5 linked regions of the Macaca fascicularis genome follow. The protein of the gene in region 1 purifies or fractionates together with the protein of each later gene. This does not show direct contact. Links are inferred from orthologs where the notes say so. Each region holds a gene or a part of one and is shown in the gene's direction. Other genes may lie near its edges.

Region 1 (5,618 bases):
CTGTGGACATGGAGTGTCCTGCAATATAATTCGGACACTACCTGGAGTTAGTGCAGAACCCACAGGTTGAGATCAGTCTTATTAAGACTGCCTCCACCACTTCAGATGCCATTGCAAGTAGGAGGTCCCTAGGTTACCCATGCCTTTTATCCAATTGGCCTGTAAATTAGGGGTTCCTTTTTTTTTTTTTTTTTTTTTTTGAGACAGGGTCTCACTCTGTCACCCAGGCTGGAGTACAGTGGCACCGTCTCTGCTCACTGCAACCTCCGCTGCCCAGGTTCAAGCGATTCTCGTGCCTCAGCTTCTCAAGTAGCTGGGACTACAGGCGTGTGCCACCATACTCCATTAATTTTTGTATTTTTAGTACAGATGGGGTTTCACCATATTGGCCAGGCTGGTTTCAAACTCCTGGTCTCAAGCTATCTGTCCACCTCGGCCTCCCAAAGTGCTGGGATTATAGGCATGATTTTTTTCTTCTATTAGTAGCCTTATAAGTGGCTGTCTTAGTACATCTTTTGAATCAAGTTAACTGAAAATAAATAATGATATGGGTGGTCGATTTGTTCTAGGAACTAATGAGTAACCATTTGTGGTTTATTCTTATTACCTGGCTTGAGGTTTGTGATGATTTGTAACAATTTTTTACTGTACATATGAGCCTTAAGCATTTTGCATATAAGTTAACAAAGACTTTGTTTATGAGATGAGGTCTTTGTACTTAAGTTGCCTCTCTTCCAATTAAACCATAACACGGGGTTCCTATATTCAAAAGTTTCTTCATGATCTAATTGGCCCTGGTGAAAATTACGTTCCATATTAATGCAAGGTTCTAATACAATGGAGTAATTTTTTTTTTAATGAAAATTTTATTTAAAGTTTGGGGAAATGATTTAAGACTTCTAAGGGTGTTCTTTTTTTTTTTGAGCTGGAGTCTCATTCTGTCACCCAGGCTGGAGTGCCGTGGTGCAATCTCGGCTCACTGCAACCTCCACCTCCCAGGTTCAAACGATTCTCCTGCCTCAGCCTCCTGAGTAGCTGGGATTACAGGCATGTGACATCATGCCTGGCTACTTTTTGTATTTTTAGTAGCAACGGGGTTTCACCATGTTGGTCAGGCTGGTCTTGAATTCCTGACCTCGTGATCCGCCCGCTTCGGCCTCCCAAAGTGCTGGGATTACAGGCGTGAGCCACTGCACCCGGCTTTCACCAGTGAGTGTTCTTTAAGAAAATAGTTTAGGTTGGGCGTGGTGGCTCACACCTGTAATCCCAGCACTTTGGGAGGCTAAGGTAGGAGGATCGCTTGAGGCCAGGAGTTCGAGACCAGCTTGGGCAACATAGGGAGACCCCCCCCCCCACAAAAGAAAAAATTAGCCACACATGGTGGTGTATTCCTGTAGTCTTAGCTAATTGAGAAGCTGGAGTGGGAGGCTCACTTGACCCTGTGAGGTAGAAGCTGCAGTAAGTCATGATTGTGCCACTGCACTGCAGCACTCTTGCTCTGGGCAAGAGAGTGAGACCTTGTCTCAAAAAAAAAAAAAAAGAGGCCGGGCGCGGTGGCTCAAGCCTGTAATCCTAGCACTTTGGGAGGCCGAGACGGGCGGATCACAAGGTCAGGAGATCGAGACCATCCTGGCTAACCCCGTGAAACCCCGTCTCTACTAAAAAATACAAAAAACTAGCCGGGCGAGGTGGCGGGCGCCTGCAGTCCCAGCTACTCGGGAGGCTGAGGCAGGAGAATGGCGTGAACCCGGGAGGCGGAGCTTGCAGTGAGCTGAGATCCGGCCACTGCACTCCAGCCTGGGCGACAGAGCGAGACTCTGTCTCAAAAAAAAAAAAAAAAGAAAGTTTAGAAAAAATTATTTGTTCTGATGCACAAGGGATACAGAGAAAGGGAAAAATATATATTAACGTGATAAGGGATTCTTAGAGATCTGAGACAGATAAAGTCATGCAAGCAGTTACAGTTAATACAAGAAACTAGAACTATTTATGTTTGAAGATATTTTTTGAAAGGTTAGATTATTTTTCCCTGAGAAGTGCCCACTTGCACATTCTTACTTCCTGGTGGTTTTGATGGTAGTGAAGGTGAAGGTTAATATTTGGAGCTAGTGAGTGCACAGTTTGAGCTCACTTTTTTAGCCAGATAGGTATTTTTGTTACATGAGGTCTAAGGGAAAAAAAAAACAAAAAAAAAAACTTACTAAGTGGGAAAATAAGTAGGAAAATATTACATATATGAGGTGAACAAAGTCGGGGGATGGTTTCTGGATGAAATTGTTCTACCTTGGATCATCAAGCATTAGTTAGATTCTCATAAGGAGCACGCAACTTAGATCCCTCGCATGCGCAGTTCACGATAGGGTTCACACTTATAAGAATGCAATGCTGCCGCTGATCTGACAGGAGGCAGAGCTCAGTTGGCAATGCTTGCTTGCCCGCTGCTCACCTCCTGCTGTGCTGCCCAGTTCCTAACAGGCCACAGGCTGGTACTGGTCTGTGGCCCGGGCTTTGGGGACCCCTATGTTAGACTGATCAAATATATAATAGCTAAGAGTAGACATTATAAAGTCAGAAGCTCCTTAAGCTTTTAAACCTGTAGCTTTTACTAAAATGTTGATCACAATGGCGCCATCTAAAATGAGAAGAGGGCAGAGTCTCAGACCACAATGTGAAAAGACAGTAGTCAAAGATTAGTGCACATTACCTGGCAAGTTTCCAACAACTTTTTTCTAAGTTTAAAGAGCAAATAAATTTTTTTTCCCTTGAGATAAAAGTTACGTCCAAAAAGCAGAAGGAAAGAGACACATTTCTTTTTTTTTTTTTTTTTTTGAGACGGAGTCTCGCTCTGTAGCCCAGGCTGGAGTGTAGTGGCCGGATCTCAGCTCACTGCAAGCTCCGCCTCCCGGGTTCACGCCATTCTCCTGCCTCAGCCTCCCGAGTAGCTGGGACTACAGGCGCCAGCCACCTCGCCCGGCTAGTTTTTTGTATTTCTTAGTAGAGACGGGGTTTCACCGTGTTAGCCAGGATGGTCTCGATCTCCTGACCTCGTGATCCGCCCATCTCGGCCTCCCAAAGTGCTGGGATTACAGGCTTGAGCCACCGCGCCCGGCCAACACACATTTCTTCTTTATACTGTTATATACTAAAATGTTTCTTCTGCCTGGTGCAGTGGCTTGTGCCTGTAATACCAGCTACTAGGGAGGCTGAGGCAGGAGGGTCACTTGAGGCTAAGAGTTCAAGGCTGCAGTGAGCTGTGTTCACAAGTTTTAATTATTCTTAAAACAACTGTTTAAAATTTCTTTAAACTTGCTTCTTTATTCCTCTGTCTTTACTTTGGTTGGTATTTCAGTTAAGTTTTTGGTGTTTTCAAATTTTATCTAAATGGATAAACTATTAACATAGAACATAAACCCCAATTCTCCATTTCATTTTTCTCTTAGGCATGAATCGTACAAAACTCAATATAGAGCAATGTTTGTGATGAATTGTTCTATTAACAAAGAGGAGGTTCTAAGATATAAAGCCTCAGAGAACAGGAAGAAAAGGCGAGGCCATAAGAAGATGAGGTCTAACCAGGAAGATGCTGCCGAGAAGGCAGAGACAGATGTGGAAGAAATCTATCACCCAGTCATGTGCACTGAATGTTCCACTGAAGTGGCAGTCTATGACAAGGATGAAGTCTTTCATTTTTTCAATGTTTTAGCAAGCCATTCCTAAACAGCCCAACTGGCATTTAATTACCCAATACTGTATATAAGGCAAATATGGACAGTTACTTTCCTCCTGCCTGTTCATAAGTGACACTGAGGAAGCAGTGTTTCTCTTTATAAAGAAGAATAGTTGTCAGCCTTCATTCATCTCTTACATCTCTCACCCTCTCCTTTTCTTTTTTCCTTTGATTTTCCCCCCTTATTGATGAGACTGATTCATTCTGTTTTTGATGAACATTTGGAAATGGGGGGCTTTTTGTTAAGGCTCTTTAGAATTAAAATGTTATGGAATTATAAGCAATTTTTGTTTCTGAGTATTATTTTTACTTTGGATGTAGCTTTGATGTAATTAAACTGGAAACTCTTTCCTGAATTGTCTGTATTGTTTTTGCTAAGATGTATCTTTATTCACCTCCACCCCACAGGATGGAATAACAATATTTAGTAACTGTTACAATTGTGTGGAGTACGCCACTAGCCTTGGCTCCTGCCTGTAATCCCAGCACTTTGGGAGGTCAAGGGGGTGGATCAGGAGTTCAGGAGTTTAGGAGTTTGAGACCAGCCTGGCCAACATGGTGAAACCCTGTCGGTCTCTACTAAAAATAGAAAAATCAACTGGGCATGGTGGTACGCACCTGTAATTCCAGCTACTCAGGAGGCTGAGGCAGGAGAATTGCTTGAACCTGGGAGCCAGAGGTTGCAGTGAGCTGAGATCGTGCCACTGTACTCCAGCCTGGGTGACAGAGTAAGACTTTGTCTCAAAACAAACAACAAAGAAACAAACAATTGCATGGAATAGGTACTGTCAGATACTTTAAGAAATAAAGGTCCTTCTCTGAAAAAAGAGGACACTTACCAGTATTCTAAACTTAATGAATGCACATTTTAAAATATAAATTTATGGTGAGTTTAACTAGACTTAAACATTCTGGCGGGGCACGGTGGCTCACCACTGTAATCCCAGCACTTTGGGAGACATAGGTGGGCTGATCGCTTGAGGTCAGGAGTTCCAGGGCAGCCTGGCTAACATGGTGAAACCCCATTTCTACTAAATATACAAAAATTAGCCAGGCCTGGTGGTGGGCACCAGTAATCCCAGCTACTTAGGAGACTGAGGCAGGATGATCACTTGAACCTGGGGGGCAGAGGTTGCAATGAGCCGAGATTGTGCCACTTCATTCCCACGTGGGTAACAGACGAAGACTCCGTCTCAAAAAAAAAAAAATTCTGCTGCCACCTCTTGTGCCTACTATTTATTCTGTTGCAAACAACCAAGATATAATTTTTTTAGGTATTAATATAAAAACCATCAGTGGCAGCTTGAGGGGAAATTGCATTGTAGGCATCTGTGTATTTTATTTTCAGTCTTTAAAAAAATGATATGGCCGGCCGGGCGCGGTGGCTCAAGCCTGTAATCCCAGCACTTTGGGAGGCCGAGACGGGTGGATCACGAGGTCGGGAGATCGAGACCATCCTGGCTAACACGGTGAAACCCCGTCTCTACTAAAAAATACAAAAAACTAGCCGGGCGAGGTGGCTGGCGCCTGTAATCCCAGCTACTCGGGAGGCTGAGGCAGGAGAATAGCGTAAACCCGGGAGGCGGAGCTTGCAGTGAGCTGAGATCCGGCCACTGCACTCCAGTCTGGGCGACAGAGCGAGACTCCGTCTCAAAAAAAAAAAAAAAAAAAGTGATATGGCCGAATGCAGTGGCTCATGACTATAATTCCAGCACTTTGGGAGGCTGAGGAAGGAGGATCGCTCGAGCCCAGGAGTTCAAGACCAGCCTGGGCAACATGGCAAGACCCTGTCTCTAAAAAAAAAAAAAATTAAAAATTAGCTAAACGTGATGGTGTCTGCCTATAGTCTCAGCTACTTGGGAGGCTGAGGTGGGAGGATCACTTGAGCTTG
Region 2 (6,558 bases), on another chromosome or scaffold:
AGGCCCGGCAGGACGCTTACTTCTGACCTCTGCCCTGGGGCTGGACTGCATGGCCCCCTTCTTTCCCTCAGCCAAGAGCAGGCCTGGCCCGAGGTGCCACCCCCTAGCCCCTCGGCAGGCTGTCCCTCACTGGGGAAAGTGGCTTGGTTCCCCATCTCCTCGCCAGCCGCTGATCCCTACACGGGCAGGACAGATGGGCAGCTGCAAACGAGTCTGGAGCCTCTCATCTCCCATGAGGCTCAGCTGGGGTCTTTGTCGCTCCTGCCCCAGTTCCCTCTGGGTCCCCTACTAGGTGCTGTCCTGATTGGCCCGTTGTCATCCCAGGGGTGACTCCTGGTGATGGGAGTCAGCAGTTTCAAATTCTTACACTCCATGGCTCCCCTTACCATGAGGTGGAGCTGGCTTCCTTTTCCCTGTCTTCAGCCCTCCCTGTCTCCAATTCCTGGCCTGGGCTCTCCTTCTGGACCTTTCTGTGTTGTAATTATGTACAGAGGATGGGGTTGGCCTGGGGTGGGGATGCTCGCTTTTGTCTTCTGTCCTTTGGTTCTCCTTCCATAATGCTCCTGTACCCAGTTTATTTAAGGGGACATGCACTGGAATAGGAAATGTCCCCCATATCCCTTCCCGCACCCTGCTGTGCACCCTCCAAACCCACCTTGCTCTGTGTTCTCAGGCCCCCCTGCTTTGTCTCACCAGGACCCCTACCTTTCACCTTGTTCCCTTCCACCCCTCCAGTTAGTCCCTATCTGGGTAAGGGTCTTCCCTTGAGCTCCAGGGGGTGGAACCCAATGTTTACATTCTCTTCTGTCTCTGCCCCCACCCCATGCAGCGCTTTGAGGAATCAGAAAAGAACCTGCTGTTGTACCCGAGTCTGTCTCCTGCCTTGTTACTTGATGGGGGTTGGGGTGGGGTAAGGATGAGGGAGGGAGGGAGAGACAGAGCCAGGACCTGGGTCTCTGTTAAAACAGTCTGCTGTCTTGGCAAGTAGGTATCTCTTGGCTTTGGGTCCATCTCTCAAGTCACTCATCAGACACTGGTTGAGCTCCTACTCCAGCTTTGCCTGGGATGTGCTGTCTCCATTGTCACTGGCTGCCTGGAGCTCTCTAGGTACCACCTGCAGCACCCAGATCTGCTTCCCAAAGTGCTCATGCAACTCCTGGAAGCTGGAACGGGTACTCATGGTGGCTAGAAAGCCAGTGTCCTCTGGGCATGAGATGGGTTCTTGGCCAGCTGCCTGGCACAGCTCCCGGTATTAGGTCTTGAGTGGGGGCAGCAGCCCAGCCAGCCACCTCCAGCTCACACCAGCCAGTGCCCACAGCCAAGTCTCCAGGTTTTCCTGGGTTTCTGCAGCCAGCTTGTAGGCCCGCCCACCCCAGGAGTCAGGATGGTAAAGGCATAGGGTTCTTAAGGTGTAGCTCCACCTGGCAGTTCTCCAACGGGATGAGGCCCAGGGGTGCATGATCGGTCTGGTGTTCTAGGTAGAAGAGGTTTCCTTGGAGGATGAACCATCGGTGCTGGTAGCTGAGGTTTCGGGTCCCCTTCTTTAGCAACATGCCTTCCTGGTCTGGGGCCTGTGTTCTGTAACCATGGAAGAAACTGAGCATGGACTTTCTGTGCAGTTCCATCGTGATCCAATATGGGAGGAAATCCCTAGGGAGAGAGAAGTGGCCCATCTAGTTGCCTTGGGGAAGAGTAGGGGAACTCTCACACTGTCCTCGTCTGGCTCCAGCAGGTGCCGCCTGGGCAGTCTTTGCTTAGGGGGATGCAGGCTCCGAGTGTCCTCAAGAGCTAGAGGTTCCAGTACAGGGGCTGACCCCCCGCCACCTCCCCCAGTCCCGCTTCTGCTTGGGCCACATTCTGTTACCTGGGCACGAGTTGCTAGGCCCTGTTTGCTCAGAGGAGCTTCATGCTACAGAGAGGCACTGTTGCCCTTTTCCAGGCCGTGGTGCTAGGCCCTGTTTGCTCAGAGGGGCTTCATGCTACAGAGAGGCACTGTTGCCCTTTTCCAGGCCTATCTGAGAGCAGGGCACAGGGACTTCTGGCCTGGGTACTGGTGCCAATGCCACCTCTCCAGTGATGGCTCTCCCACCTCAGAAGCCAGGAACTCGCCCAGGGTATGGGCGTGGGACAAATGACTTCCCCTGGGTCCTAAAGGGAGCTGTGTCCAGAAAGTGCCCCGAGAGCCGTCCAGGGGCCCCGGGCTGGCCATCGGGAGAGCCAGGCTTCCCCTCGGGGAGGGCAAGGCTCCACCTCTCAGATAGGAGAGCTTACCACCGGACCACAGGAGTGGGAAGGCAGGATTTCTAACGAGACGGTAGGGGCGCTGAGCCCTCAGCCCTGGTGGAAGGGTGACTCGAACCCAGCACAGGAAAACGGGGCAGCGACCCACTGGCCCTGCTCGGACTTTGCCCCTCCATCCTGACCCTGGGCGACCCTTTAAGTAGATGCTCTCGTTTTTCTCCAGAGCCTCTACTGCTTGAATGAGGGAATCGAAGGTACTTCCGGCCATTTCTCACGCCCGGTCAGAGTGTAGGCATTCACAGGTCCCCTCTTCTCGCCATTGTCCTCCCACGCGACTGACGTCACTTCTTGCGGGAGAGAGGGTGGAGGCGTCTTCCCTCGCTCACCGCGTACTTCCGCCCGCTCTTCCAGTTAGTTCCCTAACCCGAGTGAAGCCACTTCCGGGCTTCCCAGGCGCCTTCCACAGTCCTCTTCCGGGTGATGGCGGCCGGGTGCCCCGGATGTAGCCTTGGCGCAAGCATCTCTTCTTTTCGCCACCTCGCCTCCCGCGGAGTCCCAGGTGAGCGCGCGAGGGTGGGACAGCCCGGATCCCCGTGGCCCTCTAATTTGTACACAGCCCGGGACAGTTGGGGCTCACCACACGGAATTGGGAGTTCGGAGCAGGGAGGAACGGGGTGGCGAGAGCGCCAGGTCCTGGGTCTGCCCGGGCCCCGCGAGCTCCGAGAGAGCCAGAGTAGGAGGCGGGGGTCAGCCGGTCGAGCCGGTGGCGCCCAGACTGCGGGGGCTGGAGTTGGGAGCGGTCACGTGGTGAAGTCTGTTCCCTGTTGGCCAGGGTCAGGGGATCCAGAGGGTCCGCTCCTCCGTCCCCACCCCATTTAACTCGCGGATGCTAGACCCAAGTCCTGCAGGCCTCCTGGCTGCCAGCTTCTCTTCAGCCCTTGCTTTTGTGCTCCCTCCGCTCCCAAACTGTACCTGTCACAGACCAGGAAAAATATTTGCTGTGCTGGGTCCTCTGGTGGCGAGTCCCCTCCTCACCCCATTCTCTTTCTCTGTATCCTTTCCTCAGCTTGAGAAACACCTCTCTGCCCCGTCATGCCAAAGAGGAAAGTGACCTTCCAAGGCGTGGGAGATGAGGAAGATGAGGATGAAATCAGTGTCCCCAAGAAGAAGGTGAGGGGGCCAGACTCCTTTGTGTGGGGGAAAGAGAGGAGCTAGAAGCCTGAGGAGAAAGAAAGCTGGCGGGAGTGGGGCGGGGCGGGCAGGCAGAGAAAAGCCTAGTTTTTTCAGGTTCTCTGAAGAATGGGTTGGGAGCATCTTCAGTGTGGGTCCTAAAATATTTGGGGAAGTAGTCGAGATCCTGAAATATTTGGGGAATATTTGGGTCCAGATCCGGAAGTATTTGGGGAGGTAGCCAGTAACCTGCATTTCTTGACTTGACTCCTGCTCACAGCTGGTGGACCCTGTGGCTGGGTCAGGGGGTCCTGGGAGCCGCTTCAAAGGCAAACACTCTTTGGATAGCGATGAGGAGGATGATGATGATGGGGGGTCCAGCAAATACGACATCCTGGCCTCAGAGGATGTAGAAGGTGAGCTGTACCCAAGAATACACTCTGCTGGAGAAACAAGTAGGGGCCTCTGGTGGTGTGGAGTGAGGGAGGCTCCAGTCTCTCTTTTCCATGCCTAGAAAAGGGCACCTGTGTCTTTGGTACAGGTCAGGAGGCAGCCACACTCCCCAGCGAGGGGGGTGTTCGGATCACACCCTTTAACCTGCAGGAGGAGATGGAGGAAGGACACTTTGATGCTGATGGCAACTACTTCCTGAACCGGGATGCTCAGATCCGAGACAGCTGGCTGGACAACATTGACTGGGTGAGGCCCAGGGGCTGGTGTGGCTGGGGCCGGGGAGTGGCGGATGCTAGGCCTGCTCCCATGGCAGTTCGTGGGAAATCACTGCATCTTTCCATGACAGGTGAAGATCCGGGAGCGGCCACCTGGCCAGCACCAGGCCTCAGACTCGGAGGAGGAAGACAGCTTGGGCCAGACCCCAATGAGTGCCCAAGCCCTCTTGGAGGGACTTTTGGAGCTTCTGTTGCCTAGAGAGACAGTGGCTGGGGCACTGAGGCGTCTAGGGGCCCGAGGAGGAGGCAAAGGGAGCAGCAAGGGGCCTGGGCGTCCCAGTTCCCCTCAGCGCCTGGACCGGCTCTCCGGGTTGGCCGACCAGATGGTGGCCCGGGGCAACCTTGGCGTGTACCAGGAAACAAGGGAACGGTTGGCTATGCGGCTGAAGGGTTTGGGGTGTCAGACCGTGGGACCCCACAATCCCACACCCCCACCCTCCCTGGACATGTTCGCTGAGGAAGTGGCAGAGGAGGAACTGGAGACCCCAACCCCTACCCAGAGAGGAGGTAAGCTTGGAGGACAGAGGAGGGGGCAGTGGGCGGGAAGTGAGACACCGGAGGTCAAATGGCTTTGCCTGTTATTTTAGAAGCAGAGTCGCCAGGAGATGGTCTGGTGGATGTGATGTGGGAATATAAGTGGGAGAACACGGGGGATGCCGAGCTGTATGGGCCCTTCACCAGCGCCCAGATGCAGGTGAGCTGCTTTCTCCCTCCTTCTGGCTTGTCCCTGCTTCCCCTACTCCTGTCAGTCCTTCCCCAGCTCTGCCCTCTCCTTGCAGACCTGGGTGAGTGAAGGCTACTTCCCGGACGGTGTTTATTGCCGGAAGCTGGACCCCCCTGGTGGTCAGTTCTACAACTCCAAACGCATTGACTTTGAGCTCTACACCTGAGCCTGCTGGGGGCCCAGTTTGGTGGGTCATTCTTTCCTGGACTTTGTGGAGAAGGCACCAAGTGTCTCAGGCAGTGAGGAAATTGGAGGCCATTTTTCAGTCAATTTCCCTTTCCCAATAAAAGCCTTTAGTTGTGTATTGGGGCCTTGGCTGTGCTGACGGCCAGAAGCCAGGGGCCTTCTCCACAGCCACTTTGGACTTGCCTTGGTCCCTGAGTGTTTGCTCCCATGAAGATCTTCTTTGGAGGTGCCTGTCAGGTGTCCTGTGGCCTCACTGCCTGGACTCTGCTTGCTGTGTAAACACCCCCAACTGCGCTACTTTGTGTTCCTCTCTGAGGTTTCTTGTTTGATTCCCCTTAGGTCTTTGGCTTTCAGGATGTCAGATTCTTTGTCCTTGTAGCCACCAGGGGATGGAGCCCCAGAAGTGGAGCTTTTAGGCCTGGAAGGACCGGGGCATGGAGAAGACATTGGGTCTCTGTTGGGGGTGGGCATGGAAACGTTTTACTCTTGCTCCACCCTCTCAAGCTCCATAGACACTGGGCAGAAGTGGGATGAGTGGTCCAAGACCGAGATCCCTAAGGTTCTGAGAGCCAGTATCTTCCCTAGCCTGGCTTTCTTCTCTCCTTGCAGTCGTTCCCATAGCCCTTCAGTGAAATGCAAACTCAGTGGCCAAGCGTGGGCCAAGCGTGCGTTGTACTGGCACAGAGGGGCAGTGACTCACTGGAGGTCACAGGAATCAAAGGGCTGGCCCAGAACCAGTGGGCTCCTTTCCCAGACCTTTCTTGGCACAAAGCCTTTGCTGCCTGGCCTTTGAGGCCCTGCGGCCTACATTCTCTCGGCCCCACTAGGTGCCTGGCACAGGGCTAGTGCCTTCAGGAAACTGAGGTAGCTGGGCTGGTCCCCTTCCAGGAATTCAGAGTTTGGTGGCAGAGGCATGGGTGTAATTCTATAGCCTGGGCCTGGCACCCTCCACCCCCTACCCCCTACCAGCATTGCCTTATGCCTCCCTTGCACCACGTTAGATGGTTTCTTCCGGTTTTCCATTCTGGCTGCCCTTTGGAATCTCCTGGGGAGCTGTAATATCTATTTGGATATTCGGATTGAGCTGGTCTAGGTTGTGGCCCAGGCATTGGGTATTTCGGAAGCCTCTAGGTGTTTTCAGTTTGCAGCCAAGCCGAGAGAGAGCCCCTGGGTCCGACCCCCATGGTTGAGGCACCGCTAGCAGGAGGGCTGGCTCCTGGACCCCACTGTGGTTGTAGAGCTGAGCGTGTGTGTGGCTTTAGTGCCGTCCATTAGTTACGGGGATCTGGGCACCAGAGCTGCAGGACACTTGGAATCCCAGGGCAGAAAGGGCCAGACGAGCAACTAGGAAAGACTTGGGGGCCAGGGTGGAGTGGGGTTACCGGACGCTCTTGTGAGGCCTGCTCTAGTGCCTGCTCACACTGGAATTTCATTCACTCCAAGAAGCCATCAGGGGTAAGATACCTTCCTTTAAACATCACTAAGAAAGAAGAGGCCTGCCAGTGACAC
Region 3 (5,866 bases), on another chromosome or scaffold:
CAATAGCACTTCTCCCTCATCCCCCAATAATGACAACCAAAAATGTCTCCAGACATTGCCAGATGTACCTAGGGGGCAAAATTTTCCCTGGTTGGGAACCCCTGATCTAAATGAATAGATTTCAAAAACAATGTCAGTGAAAAAAAAAAAAAAAAAAAGCAAGTTATAAATACATACGGTAATGGGTACCAAAAAAAACAGAATGAATGAGTAAGACCTACTATTTGATAGCACAACAGGGTGGCTCTAGTCAATAATAACTTAATTATACATTTAACATAGAGTGTAATTGGATTGTTTGTAACTTGAAGGATAAATGCTTGAGAGGATGTATACTCCATTCTCCATGATGTGCTTATTTCACATTACATGCCTGTATCAAAACATATATCCTGTAAATATATACACCTACTATGTACCCACAAAAATTAAAAATTAAAATGAAAAAGAATAAAATATATACCATGTGGATGTTACACATATAAAAATTTTAAATACACAAAATACTATACAGTCTGGGCGCAGTGGCTCACACCTGTAATGCCAGCATTTTGGGAGGCCAAGACAGGTGGATCACGAGGTCAGGAGTTCAAGACCAGCCTGGCCAATATGGTGAAACCCTGTCTCTACTAAAAATTCAAAAATTAGCTGGGCGTGGTGGCATGCACCTGTAGTCCCAGCTGCTTGGGAGGCTGAGGCAGGAGAATCGCATGAACCCTGGAGGCGGAAGTTGCAGTGAGCCGACATCGTGCCGCTGCACTCCAGCCTAGGTGACAGAGCAAGACTCTGTCTCAAAACAAAACAAAACTATACATTATTTATAGATACATATATATTCATTTATTCAACAAATATTTATCGAGTGCCTCCTATGTGCCAGGTCCTATTCCAGGCATTGGGAATATAATAAATGAACCCAAAGTGTCCTCGTCCTTATGGAGCTCACATGCTAATGTAGGAGAAAGACCGCAAGCCATTATACAATGTTAGATGGTAGTAAGTGCTATGAAGAAAAAGCAGTGAGTGGGGATACAGGGGTAGAGACTGCTCTTCTAGATAGATAAGTTTAATCTTCTAGAAGATTAAACTTCCTTAGGCCTTTCTAAGGAAGTTTTCTTTGAGAAGGGACCTGAATGAAGTGAAGAAGTGAGGCATTCAGGTATTTAGGGGAATAACATTCCAGCAAAAGGACAGACAGCAAATACAATAAATAGAAACATATATATATATATACACACACACAGAGAGAAAGAAAAGCGCCGAAGAGTACTTGAGAAAGCAGTCACCTCTGGGGAACAAGACAATGGATTGGGATGGGTGGCAGTGGTCATCAAAGGAAACATTAGCTTTCTCTACAGTATTTTTTTTTTTTTTAAGACGGAGTCTCTTTCTGTCGCCAGGCTGAAGTTTAGTGGCGCGATCTCGGCTCACCGCAGCCTCTGCCTCCCCAGTTCAAGCGATGCCCCTGCCTCAGCCTCCCGAGTAGCTGGGACTATAGGCGCATGCCACCAAGCCCGGCTAATCTTTTTGTATTTTAGCAGAGACAGGGTTTCACCATGTTGGCCAGGATGGTCTCAATCTCCTGGCCTTGTGATCTGCCCTCCTCAGCCTCCCAAAGTGCTGGGATTACATCTCTACAATATTTTTAAGTTACATGATAAACCTATACCCTTTTTTGTCAATTAAAAATAAATAAATAGGCCGGGCGCATTGGCTCATGCCTGTAATCCCAGCACTTTGGGAGACCGAGGTGGGCGAATCACCTGAGGTCAGGAGTTTGAGACCAACCTGGCCAACATGGTGAAACCCCATCTCTACTACAAGTACAAAAAATTAGCCGGATGAGGTGGTGGGCACCTGTAATCCCAGCTACTCAAATTAAAAATACACAAACAAATAGCCAGGCACAGTGGCTCATGCCTGTAATCCCAGCTACTTGCTGAGGTAGGAAGATTGCTTGAGCCCAAGAGTCAAGGCTGCAGTGAGCTGTGATCATGCCACGCACTCTAGCCTAGGCGACAGAGTGAGACCCTGTCTTAGAAAAAGAAAAAAAAGAAACTATGCACAGAGATACTTATGTGTTGAGTGAGTGACATAATGCTGACATGATTTGTTACATAAATTGATGGCACCCTGTCTGAACTATTAAGAATGGACCAGATCAAGTTGTATAAAGGACTTGCTTTAATTGAATAAACATTTGCATATCTTGCAAAATCACATAGGTGATGGGGAACTGTCTCTACTCTGTATTATTAATATGTAAACATTACTAGGAGAGAGAAAAGAATAACCCAAATAATCATAACAAAAGGCAAAATAAAAATCATTGTGGAATATCAAATGCTAAAGAGAGTCATAGTGAGAAGGTAATAAACTTTCACAAAGGTTGAAGCAGAGAAGTTAAAAAAAGAAAGATAATGGAAGGCTTCAGGGAGGAGGTGTTTCAGTTAAGTCTTAAAGAATGAGGATTTTTTTTTTTTTGACTGTGTCTTGCTCTTTTTTTTTGAGATGGAGTCTCGCTCTGTAGCCCAGGCTGGAATGCAGTGGCGTGATCCCAGCTCACTGCAAGCTCCACCTCCCAGGTTCATGCCATTCTCCTGCCTCAGCCTCCCAAGTAGCTGGGACTACAGGCGCCCGCCACCATGCCTGGCTTTTTTTTTTTTTTTTTAGTAGAGATGGGGTTTCACTGTGTTAGACAGGATGGTCTCGATCTCCTGACCTCGTGATCCGCCCGCCTCGGCCTCCCAAAGTACTGGGATTACAGGCGTGAGCCACGGCCCCCACCCAATGGAGTCTTTCTCTTGTCGCCCAGCTTGGAGTGCAATGGCATGATCTTGGCTCACTGCAACCTCTGCCTCCTGGGTAGTACAGACTTTGCAAAAGTTATAGAACTTCCCTGGGCTCTGGTTTTCTCATCTGTAAAACAGGATTATTACCTTCTATAATAATGAGGAGAGGACTCAATAAGAAAATGTATTTAAAGTGTTAGCATAGCATTTAATACATGCTAGATAAATTTTAATTGATACTTTCCTTCTGGATCTTCTTTTCTTTATATATAAAATACATATGTTATATGTATGTCTTTATGTATTTTTAGTACGTCTTTTATATGTATATGTACTATTAATATAATACAACTCTTTCTATGTACATATATATACATATAGACCCTGTCTATACATATATGTATAGAAAGAATTATACGAGATCAGTGGCTTCATAATGATGTTCCATGGAGCCTGCTTCAGAGCCAAAAGGGAAGGCAAATTGTGTAGATCTCTGAACCTCTATCCTCCACTTGATTTATTTTTATTTTATTTTATTTATTTATTGAGACGGAGTCTTGCTCTGTTGCCCATGCTGGGGTGGCTCACTGCAACTTCTACCTCCCGGGTTCAAGCAATTCTCCTGCCTCAGCCTCCCGAGTAGCTGGGATTACAGGCGTGTGCCACAATGCCCAGCTAATTTTTGTATTTTTAGTAGAGACGGAGTTTCACCATGTTGGCCAAGTGAACTCCTGACCTCAAGTGATCTCCCCTCCTTGGCCTCCCAGAGTGCTGGGATTACAGGCATGAGCCATCGTGCCTGGCCTATCCTCCACTTTAATTAAGGCCATTTTTCTTTGAGCCCTTCTATATTTTAGAATTCCTGGTAAAAGTTTTTTTTTTTGAGAAAAAGGGATCTGTAACCTAAAAATATGCTTAAAAACAAATTAGAAGGTTGGGCACGGTGGCTCATGTCTGTAATCCCAGCACTTTGGGAGGCCGAGGCAGGGGGATCACGAGGTCAGGAGTTCGAGACCAACTTGGCCAATATGGTGAAACCCCATCTTTACTGAAAATACAAAAATTAGCCAGGCGTGGTGGCGCATGCCTGTAGTTTCAGCTACTTGGGAGGTTGAGGCATGGTAACTGCTTCAACCCAGGAGGCAGAGGTTGTGGTGAGCCGAGGTCGTGCCACTGCACTCCACCCTAGGTGGCAGAGTGAGACTCTGTCAAAAACAAACAAACAAACAAATTAGAGCCAGGTGTTTTGGCATGTACTTGTAGTGCCGGCTACTTGGGAGGCTGAAGTAGGAGGATCACTTGAACCCAGGAGTTCGAGTCCATTCTGGGCAACAATGAAACCCCATCTCTTTATTTTTTTTATTTTTATTTTTATTTTTTTTGAGACGGAGTCTCGCTCTGTCGCCCAGGCTGGAGTGCAGTGACACGATCTCGGCTCACTGCAAGCTCCGCCTCCCGGGTTTACGCCATTCTCCTGCCTCAGCCTCCCAACTAGCTGGGACTACAGGCGCCCACCACCGCGTCTGGCTAATTTTTTGTATTTTTAGTAGAGACGGGGTTTCACCATGTTCGCCAGGATGGTCTCGATCTCCTGACCTCGTGATCCGCCCGCCTCGGCCTCCCAAAGTGCTGGGATTACAAGCATGAGCCACCGCGCCCGGCCCCCATCTCTTTAAAAAAAAAAAAAAAAAAAAACTCCCCAAATTAGACTAGCTAATCCCTTCCAACTTTAAAATACTATGTATTTATGATTACTATTCTAGGTTCTCTTATGAAGAAATACTCATGTTTTTTATTTTTCATAGTTCTCTTGCTATGAGCCCTGGTGAAGAAATCTTAACCTTATTACAGACAATACCATTTGATATAGAAGACCTTAAGAAAGAAGCAGCTAATCTTCCTCCAGAGGATGGTAAGTGATGGACCAGGATACAGTGGAAGGGTTAAAAAAAAAAAAATTAAAATGTTCTTCTAAGTCTCACAGGATCCTCTCCTAAGAGGACTTATCATGTGAATGTAGAATGGCAATATCATGCTTTCTTCTTTTTCAGATGACCAGTGGTTAGATCTCTCACCAGATCAGCTGGACCAGCTGCTGCAGGAAGCTGCTGGCAAAAAAGAATCAGAGTCTATTTCCAAGGAGGAGAAGGAGCAGAACTATGACTTAACTCAAGTCTCAGAGAGCATGAAAGCTTTCATATCCAAAGTCTCAACCCACAAGGGAGCAGAGCTGCCTCGGTAATTTGTGTTAAAGTATAAATATATAAATAGTTAGAACCCAAATGTTGAAGTCATAGTCATTGCCATTTCCACTTTTTTTTTTTTTTTGAGTAAATGAGTTGTACAGATTTCTTTCTTTTTTGTGCCTAGTATGGTGATAACTTACTTATCTGAAGTCAGATTTCTAGAAGTCTTATCCTTTGCAATCCTTGAAATAAGCCAGAAAGATCACCCTAAAAACCATCATCCAGAACCACACAGGGAAACCATATACTTTACTCTTTAGTAGCTTTATGGGCTCAACATTTAGCTTTCAACAAGTTCAGACCTCTGATCTCCCGCCCTGCAAACAGATTGGATATTGAAAACTCAAAGGCAGAAATAATAACAGAAATGTGAAATTACATTTGGCAAGTAACAGGAAAAACAGGTAGATAGAATTATTACTTGTAGGCTGGGCGCGGTGGCTCACACCTGTAATCCCCGTACTTTACGAGGCCAAGGCGGGTGGATCATGAGGTCAGGAGTTCAAAACCAGCCTGGCCAGCATGGTGAAACCCCAACTCTACTAAAAATACAAAAATTAGCTGGGCATGGTAGCGCACGACTGTAATCGCAGCTACTTGGGAGGCTGAGGCAGGAGAATGGCGTGAACCTGGGAGGCGGAGCTGGCAGTGAGCTGAGATCGCGCCACTGCACTGCAGCCTGGGCTACAGAGAGAGCAAAAAAATAAAATAAAATAATAATAATAATAATTGTTACTTGTGTATCACATATATCACTATTAGTGTTGATACTCTTGAACCTGATGAAAGATCTAAATTTATATTTGGTATTCTCTCTTTAAGAAAGCA
Region 4 (6,468 bases), on another chromosome or scaffold:
GACCAAGATTCTTCTTATGCAGATGAAGCCTCCGGATTGTAAATGTTTCTTATCAGACTTAAAAAGGTGCCAGAATCTTAGTTAATTATCTCCTGGATCAGGAAATAGACCCTGAAAGGGAGGGGGATTCTCTATTGAATGTAGATTTTCCCAAGAGACAGCTTTGCAGGGCCATTTCAAAATACATCAGAGAAATATATTTTGGGGTAAAATACTTTGATTTCTTTCAGGGCCTGCTGTCACGTTGGTATCTTATTGATACAGAGTCTGTTTTGTGAGTCTTAAGGTCTCTGTTTATTTTTAGGCAAGAGTTTCGCTCTTGTCGCCCAGGCTGGAGTGCAGTGGCGTGATCTCGGCTCACGGCAACCTCCACCTCCCGGGTTCAAGCGATTCTCCTGCCTCAGCCTCCCGAGTAGGTGGGACCACAGGAATGCACCACCACACCCAGCCAATTTTGTATTTTTAGTAGAGACAGGGTTGCACCATGTTGGCCAGGCTAGTCTCGAACTCCTGAACACGCGAACTCAGGTGATAGACCAAGTGCTGGGATTATAGGTGTGAGCCACCACACCGGCCTAAGGTGTCTGTTTTAATGTGAATGCTGGTCAGCAGTGCCTGAATTCCCACTGGAAGAGGGTATAATGAGGCACATTGGGCCACCCACGGTCATCATGGCCTGAACTAGCTTTTCAGGTTTACTTTAGAATGCGTTTGGCCAAGAGGTGTCCATTCGGTTGGTTGGGGTTGCTTAGAATTTTACTTTGGGTTTAAACCAGGGAGTAACTCCAGGTAGCAAGGGCCCTTTCTGGGAGGATTCTCTGTGTTCTCTTTTGGGAGAGGCCCTGTGTTGCCTGCAGTCACTTCCACCCTGCCCCTTGGGCACACGAGGAGCACACAGTGTCAGTAGGTTGGCAGGAGGGGTCGGGCAGCCAGGGAATGCAGTATGAGATGGGCTTGGGGTCGGGGCTGGGTGCGCTGCAGGACTCCTCCTCCTCCTAAGGGACGGCAAAGGATGGACACACTGCTCCCTCCTGAGCATTTGAGGGTCTCTGTCCTGCCCATCTATTTCCTGTAAGTGTTCCTTTGAAGAGCTGGCGGCTCAGGCCTGAGCCATGTCTCAAAGGGGCTGGAGGGGAAGAAAGACCTCGTCCTACTAGGGAGCCCACCCAGCCCCTCAGCGGGCGGTGGTTGGGGGGTGGACAGGCTCTGGGGCTAAGCAGCCCCTGCGCTCCCCGTCCTTGCCAATGGGCTTGGTCTAGACTCTCCTATCTTCCCCTACATCGTGGGGTGGGGCTTGCTCTGGGTCAGGCTGCTTTTCCCTAGTTGTGGGGCGGGAGATGCTGGCACATTTAACTGACCCCTGGAGGAAATGAGTGCCTGGGAATTCATGTCTAGGGCTCCCAGCAGCCTCTTTGCGGGCCAATTTGGAAACTGTCCCCAGCCCTGCATTTTAGGGGGTTACAGAGTCTCTCAGCAGGCCCTCCTCCCCTGCTGCTCCCAACTTCCAAGCCTGCACTGGTTGGGGTAACAGGATGGTTCAAGGAGCCCCCTCTCTACTTTCCACTGTGTTCCCTGTGGGGAGGGAAGAGCAGTTTAAGGAATAAGGTATCCCAAAGGCGCACAGCAGACCGGGGACCGAGGAGGGGGTCCTGCTTCCCCTCCTTTTCTCTAGGCTGAGCCACAGCAGGTCCTTGAATCCTATTTCCCAGCGGATGCCAGGACAGCAGGCCCTGGGGGAGTTCTCTCTCGAGCCTTTCAGAGGGACCAGAGGTCTAGCAGCCACGGGGAACTCAGATTCCTTGACTGTGTGGGGCATGAACTCTCCCAGCTGAGAAGGGGCACAAGGTGCCAACAGGGCCAGTGGCCAAGGGAGACGCGGCTTGTCGAAGGGAGAACCTGGGCCCTCGTCTTCCCTTTCAGGGCGGGCATCTGACCTGCCCCCTGGACAGGCTCCCAAGCACGGCGGAGGCCAAACCTTCCCGGCTGCCGCCCACCCAGCCACGCTGACTTGGAAGCTTGAGCATTCAGCGGCCTCCATCCTGCCCGGAAGGACCAGGGACCTGGCCCCAGCTTCCCCGCAGCGCCCTCGGGGGACGTCTCAGTGCCTCCCGGAGCCCGGACCAGTGCACCAGAGCTGAGGGCCCAGAGGTGTCAGGGTGGCCGGGCAATTGTGTGAGGACGACGCCCCACAAGTTTGCGGCCAGGGCCCAGTAAACCCCTAGGGGTGGGAAAGCATCGGCCCAACCAGCGGGTAAAGCCCCCTTCACCCGTGACCCAGCGGCCACGACCCCGCGTCCTCATCTCGGGCTGGGACCGCCTCTGCGTCTGGCCTGAGCGGGACCGTGGGATCCCGGGGAGCCCCGCCTCGCTGCATTGACGAAGCCCAGGAGGAGCGACAGTTACCGCTTCCGGTCATGACCGGAAGTGCTGGGAACGGCATTCGTTCTCCATACGAGATGATGCACTTCCTGCCTGGGGCGGCCGCTGTTCTCGCGGTTTCCGGCAGGTGGCGCTGGGACCACGGGAAGCCGGCCCGGTTGTCGGTTAGCCGTCGAGCATTCTGGGAATTGCAGGCCTGGCCCCTCCTCTTCCTGTTCTTCCTGGTCAATTCCGGTCTTGGTTCCCCAACAAATGCCGTCGTTTCCGGGGCCGCTTCCGAGCCGGACCCAAGGGCCGGGGCGTAGAGGGGCGGGCGCATGCGCACAGGGCTACACATCCCGACAGGCGTCGGGAGTGGAGGCCCAGTGCCTTGTGGGAGTTGTAGTTCTGCAGGTGCGGAAGCCGCGGCGCTCCGCCGGCAGAGCACTCGGTTTCCCAGAGGGCTGAGCGCGCCGCGCGGACGTGCGGCGCCGACCAAGATGGAGATTGCCGTGCATCCTTGAGCCGGTAGGTTTGTGCTGAGGGAGGACGGGCCACGGTGGCCGGCCGAGCCTCCGGAAGGTCACCGAGCGCAGCTTTAAATTGAGCTCGGAGGCCCCGCTGTGCTCGCCAACCCCCGTACCTTGCGACCGGGCCCTTGGCACCCACAGCATCCTCTTGAGGCCCGGACCCGGGCCTGTCCAGCCCGACTTCGCACCGAGAGCCAACTTGGCACTGAGAGTTCGTTCTTTCCCTGGCGGGGAGGTCTTGCTGGCACATAGAGTGGAGAAAGGCCGGGCTCTGCATTCATGTGGAGAAACAGACGGCTTCCTTCAGTCTCCAGACATGAAGGAGTCAACTCTGCCCTTCCACTCATTGCCGGATCTCGCCGAGAACCCCGAGAACGGACTCCCGGAGTCCCTGTCTTGCAGCCCGATCCCCGCTCCCCCTCGGAGTGCCCCGCTACCAGGCTGCTTCTGGCCGCGGCGGCGTTCTGCTGCAGAGGACGGGAGTGCGAATCTGGGAAGTAGGGGTCTGGTTGGAACTCCAGCTTCGTCTGCAACATACTGTGTGACTTGGGCAAATTATGGCCCCCGCCCCATTCCTGCCAGTTTTAAAACGGTCATCAGTGTGGGGGGTACTGGGTATCGCCTTTCCCTGGGGTGGCTTCTTCACTGAGGAGAGTCAGGCCTCAGAGGAATTGAGGTCCTTCCTGTGTTTGACCTGGTGGAGGGCACTGACAGTCCCTAATAGTACCCCTGACCCCATCCTTGTTGGGTGCACAAGACACAGGTCACCCTGGGCGGGCAAGGAGTGTTGGTAGCAGGAGAGGAGTCAGTGGATGGATGGCCGAGGACAGTGAAGAAGGGTGTGGATGGGCCGTCTTTTTTGCTTGGAAACGCAGCTCTGAGGCACCTAGTCACTCTACCACTAAATGGGTACAGGAGGCAGCATTTGTCTGCCCAGCTGGAAAGGCAAGGTATGTGCTGAGTGTTACAGGAGGAAGGTCACTGGAGGTCGCTCCAGGAGCTGCGGGGATTTGCTTCTGCCTAGCAGGGCTGCTCAAGGTGATGGTCGACACCCCACTTTCCTGAGAGCTTGACCCTCAGATGCCAGGGCCTTGGCTGCAGATTCCTTGGGAGCTCCCGGGGATCTTCCAGCAAATAGGAGCAAACCTTTTCCCCATGGATCAGGAAGGTGCCGGCTCTTTGTGGAGTACCAACTGCTCACCCTGCACAGCAAGCAGCTTATAAGTGGCCCTCCTGCCTGATCTCGGCCCTGGGTTTAAGCCCTGGGTGGCTGCTTACTACTAAAATCGCTTAGTAGCTCCAAGCTTGCCTGCAGAGGGTTGGCACGATTAAATGAGGTAACGAGTCAAAAGTCCCTACCCTGAGTCCTAGCCTGTCAGGGGCTCTGAAAACCCAGACTTAGGTCGGTCCTGCCTGGCACCTTAAGGGGTGACAATGTGCTGGCACTGGACACAACCTGTTTCACACATGTGTGCTCTGGTCTGAGGTTGGTCCTCTCCCCCACCCCACCCACCTGCAGTTGAGCAGCTGAACAGCGGCAATGCTGGGGCACTCCCAGGCCTGAGACGACCACGCCTGTGCCACTGAGGACCTTCAGCAGGGCTCCATTCACCTGGCCCACTTGGCTGTCCAGTCACACTCCAGTGTCAACCACTGGCACCCAGCAGCCAAGAGAGGTGAGAGGAGGGCTTGGAGGGGGAGGCGGGACTCCACCCTGTGTGGGACGGTTCTGTCAGTTGATTCTCTACTTGTCCAGGGGCAGTGGATCTGCAGGGGGAACTCATTCTCAATACTTTTCCTCCTGAGAGACAAACTTCCTGGGCCGTTTTGGTTTAGGTGTGGCGTGGCCCTGGGGACCCATGGCTGATGCAGGGACAGGTGAGCCGTCCCCCAGCGTGGAGGGCGAGCACGGGACGGAGTATGACACGCTGCCTTCCGACACAGTCTCCCTCAGCGACTCGGACTCTGACCTCAGCTTGCCCGGTGGTGCCGAAGTGGAAGCACTGTCCCCGCTGGGGCTGCCTGGGGAGGAGGATTCAGGTCCTGATGAACCACCCTCACCCCCGTCAGGCCTCCTCCCGGCCACGGTGCAGCCATTCCATCTGAGAGGCATGAGCTCCACCTTCTCCCAGCGCAGCCGTGACATCTTTGACTGCCTGGAGGGAGCGGCCAGGAGGGCTCCATCCTCTGTGGCCCACACAAGCATGAGTGACAATGGAGGCTTCAAGCAGCCCCTAGCGCCCTCAGGCCGGTCTCCAGTGGAAGGCCTGGGCGGGGCCCGTCGGAGCCCTGCCTCCCCAAGGGTGCCTCCGGTCCCTGACTACGTGGCACACCCCGAGCGCTGGACCAAGTACAGCCTAGAAGATGTGACCGAGGTCAGCGAGCAGAGCAATCAGGCCGCCGCCCTGGCCTTCCTGGGCTCCCAGAGCCTGGCTGCCCCCACTGACTGCGTGTCCTCCTTCAACCAGGACCCCTCCAGCTGTGGGGCGGGGAGGGTCGTCTTCACCAAACCAGTCCGAGGCGTCGAGGCCAGACACGAGAGGAAGAGGGTCCTGGGGAAGGTGGGAGAGCCGGGCAGGGGTGGCCTTGGGAACCCTGCCACAGACAGGGGCGAGGGCCCTGTGGAGCTGGCCCATCTGGCCGGGCCCGGGAGCCCAGAGGCCGAGGAGTGGGGCAGCCCCCATGGGGGCCTGCAGGAGGTGGAGGCACTGTCAGGGCCTGTCCACAGTGGGTCTGTGCCAGGTCTCCCGCCGGTGGAGACTGTTGGCTTCCATGGCAGCAGGAAGCGGAGTCGAGACCACTTCCGGAACAAGGGCAGCAGCCCTGAGGACCCAGGTGCTGAGGTCTGAGAGGGAGATGGCCCAGCCTGACCACACTGGCCACTGCCATCCTGCTGCCTTCCTAGTGGGGCTGGTCAAGGGGCAGCCTGGCCACTGCCCAGCTGGAGTGGGAGGAAGCCTGCAGGCTGCCTGTAGGTGGCACTGGAGGCCCTGGCTGCAGCTCTGGGTGGCGTCCTCCCGAGCAGAGACCTGCTGAGGCTCCTGGGGTGTGGGGTGTGGGCTGGAAGCACTGGCTTCCTGGTGGGGACAATAAAGGTTTTGGGTCTTTCTCAGACTTTGTGTATATTTGGGCCCTGCTTACTCAAAGGGGTCTGTCGGCAGCAAGAGGTCCCCACACCTGACAGTGCTGGACCACTCGAGGGTGGCTGACACCTGCATCCCTTAACAGCAGATCACCCAGGTGACAGCAAGAGTTGGTAACCCCAGGCCGCCTCTAGGGCTTGTGGCTCAGTGGCAGGTGTCCAGCGAGTACCCTCAATGGGCCTGAGTGGGTCCAGAATCTGCCCTCCCCCAACCAAAGCCCACAGGATGCCATCAGCCCCAGGCCTAGTGCGGACCACAGCTTGGGAGGCGACAGGGAGATGACAAAATGGGTCTGGACAGAGAAGGCTGGGGTGTGAGTGGGCAGTTGCAGGGCTTGGGCAGGTGTTTGACTGAGCCAGGGGTCCAGTTTTATCTGGGTGTTTTCCAGGCTCCACTGGAGATAAAGCAGCCACTGGCACCAACAGGGGCTGTGTCCT
Region 5 (5,866 bases), on another chromosome or scaffold:
TGCATCCTTGATCTCCTGGGCTCAAGCGATCTTCCCGCCTTAACCTCTCAAGTGGCTGGAACTACAGGCATGTGCTACCATGCTTGGCCAATTTTTTAATTTTTATTTTTTGTCTTGTTATGCTGCCCAGGCTGGTCTTAAACTCCTGGCCTTCAGGGATCCTACCACTTCAGTCTCCTAAAGTGTTGAGATTACGGGCATCAGCTGCCATGCCCAGCCTGTGACAGTTTATTAAGCTATGATTAGCGTTCTATAGAATCCACCCATTGAAAGTTTACAATTCAGTGGTGTTTAGTATATTCACAGAGCTGTCCATCTGTCACCACAATCTTAGAACGTTCTCATCACCCCAGAAAGAAGTCCTGTGTCCGTGAGTTGTTGCTCCCCGTTTACTCACTTCTGTAGCCTTTTGTTTGTTTGTTTGTTTTCTGAGACAGGGTCTGTCTGTCTCCCAGGCTGGAGTGTGTGGGACAATCAGTCTTGGCTCTCTGCCACATTTGCTTCCTGGGCTCAAGCAGTTCTGCCTCAGCCTCCTGAGTAGTTGGGACTACAGGTGTGCACCACCACACTTGGCTAATTTTTTTCTGTCTTTTGTAGAGACGTGGTTTCGCCATGTTGTTCGGGCTGGTCTCAAACTCCTGAGCTCAGATGATCCACCTGCCTCGGCCTCCCAAAGTGCTGGGATTACAAGTGTGAGCCACTGTGCCTGTCTAACCTTGCTTTTTTACTTTGTCTATACGTTTTGTTTCTGGACATTTTATATACAGATGTTCAACTTATGGGCTTATATCCTGATAAACCCATTGTAAGTTGAAAATATCGTAAGTCTAAAATGCGTTTGAGGCTGGGTGCTGTGGCTCACACCTATAATCTTAGCACATTGCAGGGCTGAGGCAGGCGGATCACTTGAGGTCAGGAGTTTGAGACCAGCCTGGCCAACATGGTGAAAGCCTGTCTCTACTAAAAATACAAAAAAATTAGCCAGGCATGATGGTGGGCACCTGTAATCCCAGCTACTCAGGAGGCTGAGGCAGGAGAATCGCTTGAACTCGGCGGACGCAGAGGTTGCAGTAAGCCGAGATCGTAACACTGTACTCCAGCCTAGGCGACAGAGCTAGACTGTCTCAAAAAATAAATAAAATAAAATAAAATAAAAATGTGTGTGATACACCTAACCTGCTATACTTTGTGGCTTAGCCTATCTACTGGGTTAAACATACTCAGAACACCTACCTTAGCCTACAGTTGGGCAAAGTCATTGAACATAAAGTGTTGAATAACTCATGTAATTTATTGAATGCTGCGATGAAAGTGAAAAACAGGGTGGTGGTTTGAGTCTAAGTATTGCTTCTACTGAGTGTGTGTGGCTTTTACATCGTCCCACACTGAGGCCACCTGTGAGTGGAATCACACGACATGTGGTCTTTTGTGACTGGCCTTAACTTAGTGTGTTTTCAGGGTTCATCCATGTTGTAGCATGGAGGTATTGAAATCCCTTGCCTACTTTTAAATTGGATTGTGTCTTTATTATTGTCTATGTATTATTTTTGTCTGTTGTTTTATTATTGAGTTGTAAGAGATGTTTTTATATATTCTGGATATAGTCACTTATTGGATACACAATTTGCAAATACAGATGGTCCCTGACTTCCCATGGTTTGACTTGACAGTGGTTCAGAAGCAGTTTGCGTTCACTAGAAACTGTACATGGAGGAGGAGCCAGCACCTTTGCTGCAGGCCCTGGGGGTCTGGGTGCTGGGTCCTTGCCCCATGTGTTCTTCTCAGCACTGACCTTCTTGACAGCGTCCCTGCCTCAGATCCTTGCTCTTGGCTCTGCTTTCTGTCTGGGATGGTTTTCTGGTGCTGGCGGGGCTCGGGGGGGTCTGGAGGCGTGTGGTTCCTGTCGCACTTCGCTCGCTCATGTCGTGGTCCCCCAGGTTGGCGTGCCACAGTGGTGCCTGTGCTCCTGCACCCTGTTGCTCTAGCTGGCTTATCGGTCTCTTGTTGGTAGACACATTGTCTTGCACACATGGGAATATATTGGTCACATGAATGCCTTGAAGTCGAACTGCTGGGTCCAGTATGTGCCTGTTTTATTTTGATAGAGAATGAGAAATTGCCCTCTGTAGAGACATGTGCTTCTTTGTAGTGTAAGATTTAGGTCCACCTTCACCAAGTGAGCCAGTCAGCAAATGTTTCAATGTTGGTCGTCTGATACGTGCAAAATGGTACTTAGAATAGTTTAATTAGCATCTTGAAAATAAGAATGGGGACTGGGTGTGGTGGTTTATGCATTAATCCCAGCACTTTGGGAGGCTAACGCTGGAGGATTACTTGAGACCAGGAGTTTAAGACCAGCCTGGGCAACATAAGGAAACCCTGTATCTACAAAAAACAATGTAACCGTGGGCGTGGGCCATGGTGCTGCATGACTGTGCTCCTCGGAGGCTGAGGTGGGAAGATCCCTTTTGCCTGGGAGTTTGAAGCTGCAGTGAGCTATGATTGTATCACAGCATTTCAGCCTGAGTCACAGGGGGAGACCTTGACTCTTTCTCTCTTTTTTTTTTCCCAAGACGTAGTGTTGCTCCGTTGCCCAGGCTGGAGTGCAGTGGCGCGATCTTGGCTCACTGCAATCTCTGCCTCCCGGGTTCAAGTGATTCTCCTGCCTCAGCCTCCCGAGTAAGCTGGGATTATGGGCGCCCACCACCATGCCTGACTAATTTTTGTATTTTTCTTTTTAGTAGAGACAGGGTTTCACCAGGTTGGCCAGGCGGGTCTCGAACTCCTGATCTCGTAATCCACCCTCCTTGGCCTCCCAAAGTGCTGGGATTACAGATGTGAGCCACCGCACCCGGCTGAGACCTTGTCTCTTAAAAAATAATAATAATAAGGCTTTACATTTCTTTTCACATGTTTAAAAGTTGTTTGTATTTTTATTTTCTAGTGAACAGTGTGCCTATGTCCTTTGTGACGTTTCTCTGTTGTTTTCTCTGATTGGTGTGCGATAGACTCACTTCCTCAGATCCCTGGTAGGCAGTGTCAGCATCTCGTGCTGATGTCTGTCAGTTTTAACCATTCGGGAATGCCGTGCTTCCTATTGGGAATCTGCAACTCTGATTTCCAAAATCAAAAGTAACTTTTGTGTTGCTCTTTCAGGATGCCGAGGAATGTGACAGGGCTGGGAGTGTGGCCACCTGCCAGGCTGTCATGCGTGCCGTGATTGGGATTGGGATTGAGGAGGAAGATCGGAAGCACACCTGGATGGAGGATGCCGACAGTGTGAGTTGGCAACAGGAGCCTTTGTCCGCAATATGGAGTCTCTGCTTGTGGGAACAGCAGGCACTTTATAACTACTAGGCAATTTTAAAACCTTTTTTTTTTTTTTCTGAGGCGGAGTCTCGCTCTGTCGCCCAGGCTGGAGTGCAGTGGCGCAACCTCGGCTAATTGCAACCTCCACCTCCTGGGTCCACGCCATTCTCCTGCCTTAGCCTCCCGAGTCGCTGGGACTACAGGCGCCTGCCACCACGCCTGTCTAATTTTTTTGTGGTTTTAGTAGAGACGGGGTTTCACTGTGTTAGCCAGGATGGTCTCGATCTCCTGACCTTGTGATCCACCCGCCTCGGCCTTCCAAAGTGCTCGGGTTACAGGTGTGAGCCACGGTGCCTGGCCCTTTAAAACTCTTTAAATACACTTGTTTTGCACATGGTTGCACTCATAAGGAATACAGCTTGCTTTCTGTTAACCTAAGTTTTTTTTTGTGGGTTTTTTTTTTTTTTTTTGGAAGACGGAGTCTCACTCTGTTGCCCAGGCTGGAGTGCAGTGGTGCGATCTCAGCTCATTGCAAGCTCCGCCTCCCGGGTTTCCACCATTCTCCTGCCTCAGCCTCCCGAGTAGCTCGGACTACAGTCGCCCATCACCACGCCCAGCTAATTTTTTGTATTTTTAGTAGAGATGGAGTTTCACCATGTTGGCCAGGATGGTCTCGATCTCCTGACCTCTTGATCTGCTCACCTCGGCCTCCCAAAGTGCTGGGATTACAGGCGTGAGCCACCGCGCCCGGCTGCACATTTGCTTTCTTATTCTGTTCACTTACTTCTTACTTTTTTTCTAGAACTGTTTGACAATGAAGGAGTTGCAGATGTGATGCCCTTTACCTTTAAATACTTTGGTGTATATTTCTTTAAAAAAGGACATTCTGTTACACAACCATAGCTCAGTTATCAAAATCAGGAAATTAATGTTGGGACAGTGCTGTAACTTCAGACCTTACTCAAATCTCACCCGCAGGCTGGGCGTCGGGGCTGACACCTGTAATCCCAGCACTTTGGGAGGCCAAGATGGGCAGATCACTTGAGCTCAGGAGTTTGAAACCACCCTGGTCAACATGGCAGAACACCATCTTTACAGAAACAAAAGCCAGGCATGGTGGTGCAGGCCTGTAGTCCCAGCTTCTCAGGAGGCTGAGGTGGGAGGATCACTTGAGCTCAGGAGTTCGAGGCCACAGTGAGCTGTGATTGCGCCACTACACTCAGCCTGGGCGATGACAAGACCCTATCTCAGAAGAAGAAGAAGGCTCAGCCGTTGTCTCTGCGTCCTTTTAGCAGAAGAAAAAACCGACTGTGTTCTGTGGGGAATACAGGGCCATCCTCTGGCTAGTCTGGGAGAGCCTCAGCCTTTGTTTTCATGAGTCTGAATTTTTTGAGGACCACAGGCCAGTGATGCTGTAGGCTCCTCTTTGATCTGGTTCTCTGTGGTGTCCCCTCTGGGTTGGGTTGGGTCCTCTTGGTGCATCATACAGAGCGGTGTGCACCTGTCCGACTCCGACCCTCTGGTGCAGGCAGTGGCTGCAGGCGTTTCCACTGTATGGTTGCTGTTTCTTTGTTGTTATTAATAAGTATTTTGAGGATCCATTAATGATGCTTCTTGGCCTGAATCAGTTATTTCTGTGGTGTTTGCTAAATGGTGATTTTTTAAAAAATCTTTTTTATATTAATTTTTTTTTTTTGTAGAAACAGTGTCTCACTATGTTGTCCAGGCCGGTTTTGAACTCCTGGCTTCAAGTGATCCCACCTCAGCCTCCCAAAGTGTGTAGGATTACGGGTACGTCACTGTGCCTGGCCACACCCGCATAATGATTTTGTGAACAGTTTCTCCTACATTTTATTAGTTGGAATTCTACAGTAATGAAGAGCTTCACTTTCTCCTTCATCCGTGTGTGTTCACTTCCTTCCATCTGGATTGGCCAGTGGCTCCTCCTTTGGTCCTTGGGATCAGACCCCACTGCTGGCATTGTCTGTGTGATACACACATGGTTCCTTTGCACCCCGTGTGGCACGACCCAGAGCTTGTGTGCTGGCTGGGCCATCCTCCCGCCCCATGTGTGCTAAAATACACACATCGGTCCTTAGGTGAGTTAAGACGCAGGGCAGCGGTAACGTTTTTGTTGTCGTCATCATTGTTTTTGTTTTTTTTAAGATGGAGTCTTCACTCTGTCGCCCAGGCTGGAGTCCGATGGCACGATCTTGGCTCACTGCAACCTCCACCTACCAGTTCAGGGGTTCAAGCAATTCTCTTGCCTCAGCCTCCTGAGTAGCTGGGACTACAGGCGTCTGCCACCACAGCCGGCTAATTTTTGTATTTTTTATAGAGACGAGGTTTCGCCATGTTGGCCAGGCTGGTCTGGAACTCCTGACCTCAGACCATCCACTTGCCTTAGCCTCCCAAAGTGCTGGGATTACAGGTGTGAGCCACTGCTCCCAGCCTGATTTTCTCTTCTCATTTTGTCGTCTCCTTCACATACACTGGAGTAAGCACAGTTGTTTTTCAAAGTGCTCGTCGTGCTGGGGTATGGCGGACAGTGTTTCTG

Evidence for each region.
Region 2: the proteins of EAPP (region 1) and CD2BP2 purify together in Homo sapiens (affinity purification with mass spectrometry; 3 studies listed by BioGRID and IntAct, counting the BioPlex papers as one, with this or other methods). This does not show direct contact. The link is inferred for Macaca fascicularis from reciprocal best matches to the Homo sapiens genes EAPP and CD2BP2.
Region 3: the proteins of EAPP (region 1) and ECD purify together in Homo sapiens (affinity purification with mass spectrometry; 3 studies listed by BioGRID and IntAct, counting the BioPlex papers as one, with this or other methods). This does not show direct contact. The link is inferred for Macaca fascicularis from reciprocal best matches to the Homo sapiens genes EAPP and ECD.
Region 4: the proteins of EAPP (region 1) and TSSC4 purify together in Homo sapiens (affinity purification with mass spectrometry; 3 studies listed by BioGRID and IntAct, counting the BioPlex papers as one, with this or other methods). This does not show direct contact. The link is inferred for Macaca fascicularis from reciprocal best matches to the Homo sapiens genes EAPP and TSSC4.
Region 5: the proteins of EAPP (region 1) and PRPF6 purify together in Homo sapiens (affinity purification with mass spectrometry; 3 studies listed by BioGRID and IntAct, with this or other methods). This does not show direct contact. The link is inferred for Macaca fascicularis from reciprocal best matches to the Homo sapiens genes EAPP and PRPF6.

Annotation. Positions count from the first base shown.
Region 1 is NC_088381.1:102,320,832-102,326,449, reverse strand, and holds the end of EAPP (E2F-associated phosphoprotein), read left to right. Parts: intron 1-3,440; coding exon 3,441-3,717; 3' UTR 3,718-4,083; downstream 4,084-5,618. UniProt on the Homo sapiens protein: May play an important role in the fine-tuning of both major E2F1 activities, the regulation of the cell-cycle and the induction of apoptosis. Promotes S-phase entry, and inhibits p14(ARP) expression.
Region 2 is NC_088394.1:28,492,664-28,499,221, reverse strand, and holds the start of CD2BP2 (CD2 antigen cytoplasmic tail-binding protein 2), read left to right. Parts: upstream 1-2,730; 5' UTR 2,731-2,800; intron 2,801-3,307; 5' UTR 3,308-3,333; coding exon 3,334-3,411; intron 3,412-3,691; coding exon 3,692-3,827; intron 3,828-3,952; coding exon 3,953-4,110; intron 4,111-4,210; coding exon 4,211-4,646; intron 4,647-4,726; coding exon 4,727-4,833; intron 4,834-4,899; coding exon of another isoform or gene 4,900-4,918; coding exon 4,919-5,029; 3' UTR 5,030-6,558. Other genes in the region: TBC1D10B (TBC1 domain family member 10B), read left to right, coding at 1-26. UniProt on the Homo sapiens protein: Involved in pre-mRNA splicing as component of the U5 snRNP complex that is involved in spliceosome assembly.
Region 3 is NC_088383.1:73,237,204-73,243,069, forward strand, and holds part of ECD (protein ecdysoneless homolog), read left to right. Parts: intron 1-4,597; coding exon 4,598-4,704; intron 4,705-4,843; coding exon 4,844-5,030; intron 5,031-5,866. UniProt on the Homo sapiens protein: Regulator of p53/TP53 stability and function. Inhibits MDM2-mediated degradation of p53/TP53 possibly by cooperating in part with TXNIP. May be involved transcriptional regulation. In vitro has intrinsic transactivation activity enhanced by EP300.
Region 4 is NC_088388.1:2,320,309-2,326,776, forward strand, and holds TSSC4 (U5 small nuclear ribonucleoprotein TSSC4), read left to right. Parts: upstream 1-2,837; 5' UTR 2,838-3,838; exon of another isoform or gene 3,839-4,225; intron 4,226-4,407; 5' UTR 4,408-4,564; intron 4,565-4,644; exon of another isoform or gene 4,645-4,724; 5' UTR 4,725-4,747; coding exon 4,748-5,737; 3' UTR 5,738-6,000; downstream 6,001-6,468. UniProt on the Homo sapiens protein: Protein associated with the U5 snRNP, during its maturation and its post-splicing recycling and which is required for spliceosomal tri-snRNP complex assembly in the nucleus.
Region 5 is NC_088384.1:120,152,040-120,157,905, forward strand, and holds part of PRPF6 (pre-mRNA-processing factor 6), read left to right. Parts: intron 1-3,156; coding exon 3,157-3,279; intron 3,280-5,866. UniProt on the Homo sapiens protein: Involved in pre-mRNA splicing as component of the U4/U6-U5 tri-snRNP complex, one of the building blocks of the spliceosome.